Linked DNA regions of Sus scrofa. The main gene of each other region encodes a partner of the protein of the gene in region 2 in a complex. Links are inferred from orthologs where the notes say so. Each region holds a gene or a part of one and is shown on either strand. Other genes may lie near its edges. The genes, in order: NXT1 and NXF1.

Evidence for each region.
Region 1: the proteins of NXF1 (region 2) and NXT1 are in contact, whole or in part, in a crystal structure (PDB 4WYK), measured with the Homo sapiens proteins. The link is inferred for Sus scrofa from reciprocal best matches to the Homo sapiens genes NXF1 and NXT1. Residues at the interface, in NP_006353.2 of Homo sapiens: Ala366, Pro367, Thr368, Thr369, Leu370, Pro371, Pro372, Cys373, Lys374, Gly375, Tyr377, His411, Gly413, Cys415, Cys416, Ser417, Leu418, Ser419, Ile420, Pro421, Phe422, Arg440, Asn441, Val442, Lys443, Lys444, Lys446, Pro448, Thr449, Arg451; in NP_037380.1 of Homo sapiens: Phe6, Lys7, Val10, Asp11, Cys14, Glu18, Thr44, Val46, Trp47, Asn48, Gly49, Asn50, Ala51, Phe61, Met64, Leu65, Pro66, Ile72, Ser73, Val74, Val75, Asp76, Cys77, Gln78, Pro79, Val80, His81, Glu83, Ala84, Thr85.

What each region holds. Positions count from the first base shown.
Region 1 is NC_010459.5:30,336,815-30,341,369, reverse strand, and holds the start of NXT1 (NTF2-related export protein 1), read right to left. Parts: upstream 2,992-4,555; 5' UTR 2,648-2,991; intron 364-2,647; 5' UTR 320-363; coding exon 1-319.
Region 2 is NC_010444.4:8,968,497-8,973,084, reverse strand, and holds the start of NXF1 (nuclear RNA export factor 1), read right to left. Parts: upstream 3,018-4,588; coding exon 2,990-3,017; intron 1-2,989.

The DNA.
Region 1 (4,555 bases), on a different chromosome or scaffold from region 2:
GCTGCTTGTTGCCCTCAAACTTCACCGTCCCACAGATGACCACGAGGACAGTGGTCTGGCTCGGTGTGGCGTCGTCGTGGACAGGCTGGCAGTCTACCACGTTGATCTGGAACTCGCTGGAAGGCAACATCTCAAAAAACTCACTCAAGGATTCTTGTCCCGAAACGGCATTGCCGTTCCACACCAGGGTGGCAGTGCCTGTGTACAGGCGGGACAGCAACCTCCGCCGCTTGTCCATGGTGCTGTAGTACACGTTCACAAACTCCTCGGCTGCGCGGCAGGCCTGGTCCACGTAGGTCTTGAAGTCCACGGATGCCATCTCCGGCCTCCGCCCAGGTGCCTCCTGTTCCTGGGGGAGCCAGGCTGTGGGGCAGGAAAGTCGAAGAGAGCCTGTGTGAGTGCCAGCGTCTTCTGCTGGTGGCAGAACAAATACATACGGTGGAGAGGATTCCAGAAGACACTGGTGCCGATGCCTAGTCTTACTGCGCCTCAGTTTGCTCGTTTTAAAGTTACTGTGCGTAACTGAATGTAGGAATAGACAAAGCAGTGTACACCGCACGCTGACAGAAAAAGCCTGAGACCCACACATTCACAAGTGGCAGCTATTACTATGAATTCTAATGAACTCATTTTATAAGCTACAGGCCATCTGACTATGGAAGGCTGCTTTATCCTGGCAGAGAGGAACAGGTGTGGCTGCCCTGGAGAAGCAGGGAAGCAGTGTACCCCGTAAAGACAGTGCACCCAGGAAGGGAAGAGAGGCCCAATTAAGGCCAGCCAGCCAGCAGAGCTCAGCTGATGAGTCTGGGGCCATCTAGTATGAGCTCAGCCACAGGGCCTGGGGAGCGAGGAGAAGGCAGGTTTCTTAAGAGAACAAATGCTACGAGGACTGGACAGGACCGCTATGGTGGCTGCAGTCCTCATGCTGCTGGGCACTGAGGAGCGAAGCTGGTGCTGACTGGAATGAGGGAGGATGTGCAGATCCTAGGAGCACAGGGAAGCCCTGAGTGCTAATGAAAGTAGGCAGGGGCCAGACGGAGATTCTATGAGGTGCAGGGCGAAGGGGTGGTGGCAGCAAAAAAGAATTTTGGCTGAAGCCAAAATGTCAACTTCCTTTATAAACAGTCCAGAGGAAATTCCCTGGTTGCCTAGTAGTTAAGGATTCAGAGTTGTCACTGACTCAGGTTCGATCCCTGGCCCAGAAACCTCTGCAGGCTGTGAGAATGGCTTAAAAAAATAAAAAAAGAAAAAGAAAAAAAGTGCCCAGCAATATAGATACCCATTATTAGAAACATCTTTGAGTTCCCTGGTGGCTCAGTGGGTTAGGGATCACTGCTGTGGCTCTGGCTACTGCTGTGGCATGTGTTTGATCCCTGGCCCGGGAACTTCCACTGCCAACTGCTGTCCCCCGCCAAAAGGAACAGCACAAACAACAACAAAACCAGTCCAAAAGCATAAGGAAAAATTATTACTTGCTTTTTTTCCGGGTATGGTACAACTGTTCTGTTCTTTTTTTGCATGATTAAAACATTTCACCACACAAAAATCAAACAGAGGACAACATTACCAAGATAGTGAATATGTTTAGATTTACAAACTTAAATATTGAATATTTTTTCGTTTCAAAGACCTTAACTTAAAAAAAAAAATCAGGAGTTCCCACCATGCTGCAGTGGAACAGCGGAAACAAATCCGACTAGGAACTGTGAGGGTGCAGGTTCCATCCCTGGCCTTGATCAGTGGGTTGAGGATCTGCTGTTGTGTGAGCTGTGGTGTAGGTTGCAGACATGGCTTGGATCCTGCGTTGTTGTGGCTGTGGTGTAGGCCGGCGGCTACAGCTCTGATTCAAACCCTAGCCTGGGAACCTCCATGTGATGCAGGTGTAGCCCTAAAAAGCAAAAAAAAAAAAAAAAAAAAAAAAAAAAAAATCAGCTCATGTAATAGATAAAAGACCCCAAGTAGGGCTGGGAAGAAGTCAGGAACGCTTAAGGGCTAAGGAAGGTGGAGGCCTGAGCCTCCAGGACAGAACTGGCGAGGCTGGAGATAGATCCCTCCAGAAAGGGGCCTGGGGGCCAGGCGCCCACGCGGGTTCTGCCACCCCCTCCTGAGGATCTCAAGTCCGGCTCTGCAGACACTCACTTGTAGCTCCTATTTTCTAGCGCTTAACATTGCACCACGTCTTTCAATGGTCCCCAGAATGGACGAGGCGTTACTGTAACAACTTCGCTAATGAGAAAAGAATACTTAGGTGTGGATGAGGGTCCGCGTGGGCACACCCCCATCTGTCATCTAAGAACACGATGTTGGGACGGTGCTGTCCTCTCACTGACTCCTGCCTTTCTGGGGTCAAATGTGCGGGCACTCGTTTCCCGAGGGCTAGTTTATAATCCGTCCCCCGCCCCGCCCCCACAGGCCTGTCTCCCTCGCTGGACTCCCCCTCACCCGGCTTCTACGCGATTCCCCGGTACCTGGGTTCCCTGCCTCCGCGGACACAGCTCAACCTGCCGCCCACCTGGAGGGTCTGCAGGAAGAGAGTCATTCCTGCGGGGCTGTAACCTGCTTAAGTCTCGCGGCAGGACCAGCCTGCATCCCCACAATGCGGGGGCAGAGGGTAGGGGGGGCACCTACCGGCACGGAAGACACCTACCTGAGCGGGGGGAACTACCTGAGCGGCAGGGGCAGCGGGGCGGCGGCCCTGGTCGGCGCCGGTCAGCGTGGAGATATGACCCCAGTCAGCGGGGGCCTCAGTCAGCTGGGGTCGGCGTGGGCGGCTCTGGTCACGCGGGCCGCGGCTCCGCGGGGACCCCCCTGACGGTCTGGCCTGGCCTGCCGAGTCTCCGCGCTCCTCCGCCGCTTGCTTGAAGGGGCCGGGAAGAGCCCCCCCCTCCGCGCCCCTTCCTCCCGGGACCTGCCGGGTCTCGTCCGCGCCTCCGCGGGTTCCCGCGCGGGGCCAGCCAGGTCGGCGCAGACGCGAGCTCCAGGCCCCGCCCCTCCCTGTGACGGGCAGCTGTATCAGCCAGTGGGACGGCGGGGCCGGAAAGCCCCGCCCAGGTGTGGCTCGAGGCCTCGAGGCTTCCGGGAGAGGCGCTTTCCCAGAAGACCACAGCAAATCCGCGCTTGAGTCTTAATTGGTTCATCCGGGTCACTGACTCCGGCGCAAGGTAGATGAGGCCCCTGATTGGGGTCTCCGGCACTGGGGGCGGGGCTGTCTCGCGGCTGCGCAGAGGCCTCTAGACAGGTGAGGTTTACTAGTGCTCTGCGTTTTCCCGGCGTCTCTATGGTCAGCTTACCTAGCGCGCACCTTTGCCTGTTTTCCTAAGAGGACCCTTGCTTTCAGGTGTCAGGACAAGTTTAGAAACTGGGGCGGGGGGGGGGGTGCTCTACAGCATAGGTGACCTCCCACTTAAGTAGTCAATCATTTGGATTATAAAAAAATAAAATGCTGGCTGAGTAAAAAGCGTGAACTGAACTAACACTTCTGGAGTGGTATTCACTCTTCAATGTCTTTACAAAGCCCAAGCCAGTGAAAATGGAGTTTAATGTACAAAACTCTGAATGACCGTATGACTGGAATGAAAACGGGAGTTGACCTCCCCTATGACCCCTGGATTGGATGTCCTGCTGCTTTTGAGTTTCTTTGTTTCTCATGTAAGCCCTTTTCATTTCATTCTCATACCTTAGGCGGAGATATAATCATCATTCCTGATTGTATAGACGAGGAGGCAGAGAGATACAAATTAAATGACAGCTTGGAGTCACAGAACGCCTTCAGACCTAGAAAAGATGTTTAGGAGGGCATTTATCCTGCTCTGAGTTCTTCGAAAACGCAAGGCTTTAACGCTGAGAGGCAGCAGAGTCAGCAGCAGGAGAGTGAGAGGGCAGGAAACTTCTAGATTTGTGTCACCAGCAAATTGTTTCTGACCCACAGCAAGAGTTTTTGTCTTTTTGTCTTTTTAGGGCCACACGCAAAGCATATGGAGGTTCCCAGGGCTAAGGGTCTAATCGGAGCTGTAGCCGCAGGCCTAGGCCAGAGCCACAGCAACAGCAGATCCGAGCCCCCTGTGCGTGTGACCTACACCACAGTTCACGCCAATGCCAGATCTTTAACCCACTGAGTAAGGCCAGAGATCGAACCCGAAACCTCATGGTTCCTAGTCAAATTTGTTTCTGCTGTGACACGACTGGAATGCCAATAAATATTGTTTGAATTAGCAGACAGTCCTGGGTTCAACTCATTGCTCCATAACATTCTAGTTGTAATGACTCTTCTCTATCAGTTAACCCTCTCCTCTTGGAAGCAAGCCTGGTTTTTACTGCAGCTGTGGTGCTTGAGTTGGGAGGTTAGAGATACCTTTGGCTCTAAGCGCCCAATTCTGGGGTAGTAGAATGCCCAGTTAGGGCCACTGAACCTAGAAAAGGAGTTTGCCAGGGGACTGGGGGAAAGATGCTATTTCTCCTTCTGGACATGTGATATGTGGATGGTGCTGTGGCAGCTATTTTGCCACCCTGAGGAGGGAGCCCTTGTGTGACGAGGTAGACAAGAGAGATGGGGAGA
Region 2 (4,588 bases):
TCCCTGGTTCAGCTCCCCTACTGGGCGATCCCAGTATCCAGCACCCTGCACTACCAGACAGGAGACACACAATCACGACAGAGCCCACCTCCTGGCAAACTCCTCTGCCTGGCCAGGGAAAGAACCTTCTCCGTGGGATGGCAGCAAAAGGGAAACATCCCTGGAAAACTGTGTATAAGGCTTTAGAAAAATGAAGCAGAAACTGGAACTACAAAGGAGAAGCAGAATGTGGAAGTGCGAGTGTCCCGAGCAGTAACTGGACACAACTCACACTCGGTCAGGTCACCTGAAAACTGCCTGCTCTCAAGTGCCCAAGTCTACTTAACTCCACTGGAAATGTGGTCAGTGATTATATCTTGGGAAACCAATCACAAAGGAAAACCAATCACAAGGGGAAAAACCAATCTCAATGATTACATCAGCTCTGGTAAACAGGACTCTTGCCTATAGAGCACAAATGTCAGTTACAAATATGACCAATTTAAGACCTTTTTTTTTTTTTTTTTGGCTGCACCCACAAGGCATACAGAAGTTCCCAGGGCAGGGCTCAAACCCATGCTGCAGCAGTGACAGCATCAGATCCTCGACCTGCTGAACCACCAGGGAACTCCACAAGCATCTTCTAAAGTCTTGTTCTCCTCTCAAAAGACTAAAAATAGAACTACCATATGACCACCAGCAATTTCACCCCTAGATATACATCTAGAAAGAAATATATAATGCAAAAAGATTCATGTTCACGGTAGCACTATTTACAGTAGCCAAGCTATGGAAGCGATCCTAGTGTTCACCAAGAGACTAATGGATAAAGATGTGGTGCATACACACACACATAACGGAATACTATTCAGCCATCAAAAAGAATGAAATCTTGCCATAGTTGCAACATGAATGAACTTGCAGGGTATTACGTTTAGTGAAATAAGCCAGAGGGAAAAGGACAAATACTATGTGACATTACCTGCAGGTGGAATTTAAAAAAATAAAATGTATACAGCAAAACAGAAACAGACTCACAGATACAGGCAACAAACTAGTGGTTATGAGGGGGAGGGGCAAGATAAGGCAAGATATGGGATTAAGAGATACAAACTACTAAGTATAAGAGAGATAAGCCACAAGGATCTGTTGTACGGCACAGGGAATGACAACGATTATTTTCCAATAACTTTTAATGGAGTGTAATCTATAAATACAGGAATGACTATGCTGTACACCTGAAACCAACATTACATTGTAAATCAACCTTCCTCAATTTAAAAAGATTTAAAAAAAAAAAAATCTTGCTCTCCAACTGCCACTCTCAAGTGAATGTGAAGTGTGAGTGACCCAGAGTAACTGGACACAATTCGAACCCCTCAAAAGTCACCCGACATCCGCTTTCTGTGGGCCCACCCAAATCTACTTAACCCCGAGGTGACCCCTCTCACAGGTGGCAAATCCGTCCTCATGATTACACTAGCTTTCGGGGAAACAGCTCTCCTTTTGCCCATACAATACAAACACCACACACAGATAGGACCAATTTAAGGGCTTCTTTTAAAAGTCTTATTCTCAAACTGCCACTCTGAACGTTTGGGAGTGAGCTCTTTGTTTTCTTGGTCAGAAAAGGCTTTTAACTAAGGAGACAACTCCTGAATTCAGGTTCCAGTGGCAGTTAGGATGCTTCACCAAGGGTCCTCTCCAAGAATATGATCCTCTGAACCCTGGTGTGTAGGAAGCGCTTCTTAAAAAAGACCCATGAAGGAGTTCCCTGCGTGGCTCAGTGGTTAACGGACCCAACTAGGATCCATGAGGATGCGGATTCAGCCCCTGGCCTAGTTCGGTGGGTTAAGGATCCGGCGTTGCTGTGGCTGTGGTGTAGGCCAGCAGTTACATCTCTGATTGGACCCCTAGCGTGGGAACTTTCATATGCCTCGGCTGGGGCCCTAAAAAGCAAAAAAAAGAAAGAAAGAAAAAAAAAAAAAGACCCACGATACAGATGGCCTACAGGCACATGAAAAGATGCTCAACATCACTAATTATTAGAGAAATGCAAATCAAAGCCACAATAAGGTAGCACTTCACACCAATCAGAATGGCCAACATTAAAAAGTCCACAAAAACAAATGCTGGAGAGGATGTGGAGAAAAGGCAACCCTCCTACGCTGTTGGTAGGAATGAAAACTGGTGCAGCCACTACGGGAAAGAGTATGGAGGTTCCTTAAAAAACTAAAAATATGAGTTTCTCAAGAAGTTACCCTAGGAAAAAAGTAATAAATGCACACAAGTCGTTGCTAACATTCACTGAGCACTCTTCTCCAGTGTCAGGCACTATGCTCCAGGCACCTGACATGAATGATCTCGTTTTAACACACACACACACGGAGACAAACTCAGAAGGCTGGTACTGTTTCTATCCTCATTAAGGAGATGGAAAACGAAGTCTGAGGGTGTAAGTTACTCAAGCTTGGCATAGCCAACTCGGGATTGAAACCTCGGCTCCTAACCACCGCTCTGGACTAAAACTCAGTGTAGTGTTTGGACCAGAACATCGAGTTGATGTGCAGATCTAAAATATTAAGCCTAAGCGACAGACGCGTTAGGTGGGGGAGGGGGCAAAATCGCCTGGACGCGCGGTAGAAAATAGGGCACATCAGCCCAGGAGAAGGGCACTGACTCACATTAAACAGTTTGGCCGCCAAATTGAACTGACAGGCATCAACCACCCACAAAGTTCAAAGGAATCTCATCACCCCACCACTGAGCCACCTCTCCGAGTCGCAGGGGCCCGCAAAGGGAGGATCCCAGCGTCAACAACCCCGGCACCCAACCCTCAAGCTCACCCAGGCCCCCGGGCTGCCTCGCCCCGGGCCCGCGCCGCGCCACCGCCGTTCCCCGTGGACGCCGGGCCCCTCGCGGCCTCACGCCCCGGCGCTGCGGCCTAGGCTGGCGCAGCCCAGCAGGGCCCAAGATCGACCGGCTCCCCGACCCAAGGGCCAGCACTGACCGTTGTATGACTTCCCTTCGTCCGCCATGGCGCAGCGAGCAGGGGCGGGCTCTGTCGCGGCCCGCGACACCGGCAAACGTCCGAACGCCCAGGCTCTCCCGGCTGAAGTGCTCCTACGCCGGATGCCGCCGCATTTATGCGGCCAGCGCGTCGCGCGCAGCCGACGTCCCACGGTGATGGGCGGAACCACTGGGAGACGCGCGTGCGCATTCGACGAGCGGACTAGCCGGGGGCGGGACTTGGCGTTGCACGCCCCGCCCAGGACCTGAGCTTGGGAAGCCGAGTTACCGCGGGTTCGCCGGCCCCCTGCTTTCATCCACCCCGCCGCTAGTAGCTCTCTGCTGGAGCACCTCCAGGGTCAGCGGTGAAGCGGAGAGGTGGCTACTGCAGCCCAGGATTCCGAGAGGAACAGGGAAGAGGGGCTACAGGAAGGGCTTCCGAGGAGTGGGAGACCAGGCCCTTAGGAGCGGGAGTGACCGCACATAGACACCTAGAAGGATCCAGCCAGGGCAAGTCTCAGCTCAGCCCTTTGACACTTGCAGATCTAGGCCTCGGTCTCCTCGCCTATAAAATGAAATAGAAAACTAACGGTAAACTCCTAGAGAGCAGGGGCTTGATTAATTCACGGCTTTTTCTCTCCGGCACCTGACTGGATACCATACTTAGCACGCACGCAGCAGGAACCCAACATATATTTGTGAAATAACTACTGATCTATGCATTCCCTCCGAGAGAGTTGCAATCAAAGGAGAGAAAAACGGCATTTGCCAGGCTTTGGCTGTCTTCACAAACCAACCCACCCACCAACCCACCGGGATGTGCTATGCTAAACCCACGTCTTGTGTCAACTGGGCAGTGAGGAGGCCAGCCTGACCACACGCTGAACACAGGCCAAAGGGAGAGGAAATATTAAAATGCCATGGCTAGGAAAGACCTGGGCTCTCCTGGACCCCTCAAAGTACTGGGGCCAGCACAGTGTATAGTGACTGTTGTCTCTACAGCTTGAGCTTCCTTTCGGGTGTGTGAAGTGGGGGAACTCCAGTGATGCAGGATGATGTGGTTCTGGGTCCTGGTCAGGACTAGAAAGCATATTAACCTCCCTGGAGGGTGGGTGTTCCAGGCAGGTCACTCCTTCATTCTTCTGACTGGCTTGGATGTGGTGAGGGGCTTCAAGGGGACCAAGAGCCTCAGCTGGAGCTGGGAACGGATTCTTCATGTCACCTTCACTCCTAGCAGCAGGCAGGGCTCCTACTTCATCCAGCGCAAGTAAGTTTGGGGCCAAATGGTTGGAGCATGCAGATGAGACAGGTCCAAATACTTCTGGAGATGGTCCTGGAAGTTGCCGTCAATCAGGGACCCAGGCTGGGATCCTGTTACGGGCCTCTGAAGGGAAGTTTCCATGCTAACTAAGTGCTGCTACACCTGGAAACCCCCTGCGGGAGGCAGCTGTGTGCACAGAGTGAGTGAGCCTGGCCCGTCAGGGCCATCAGCCCAACCCTTTTAGTTATGATGCTGGGCAGTGGGCTCACTCCACTTGCTGCCAAGGCCCTTCGACGCTCCCACCCCGAAATGACGACATGGCTAGTGAGGCTGACAGTC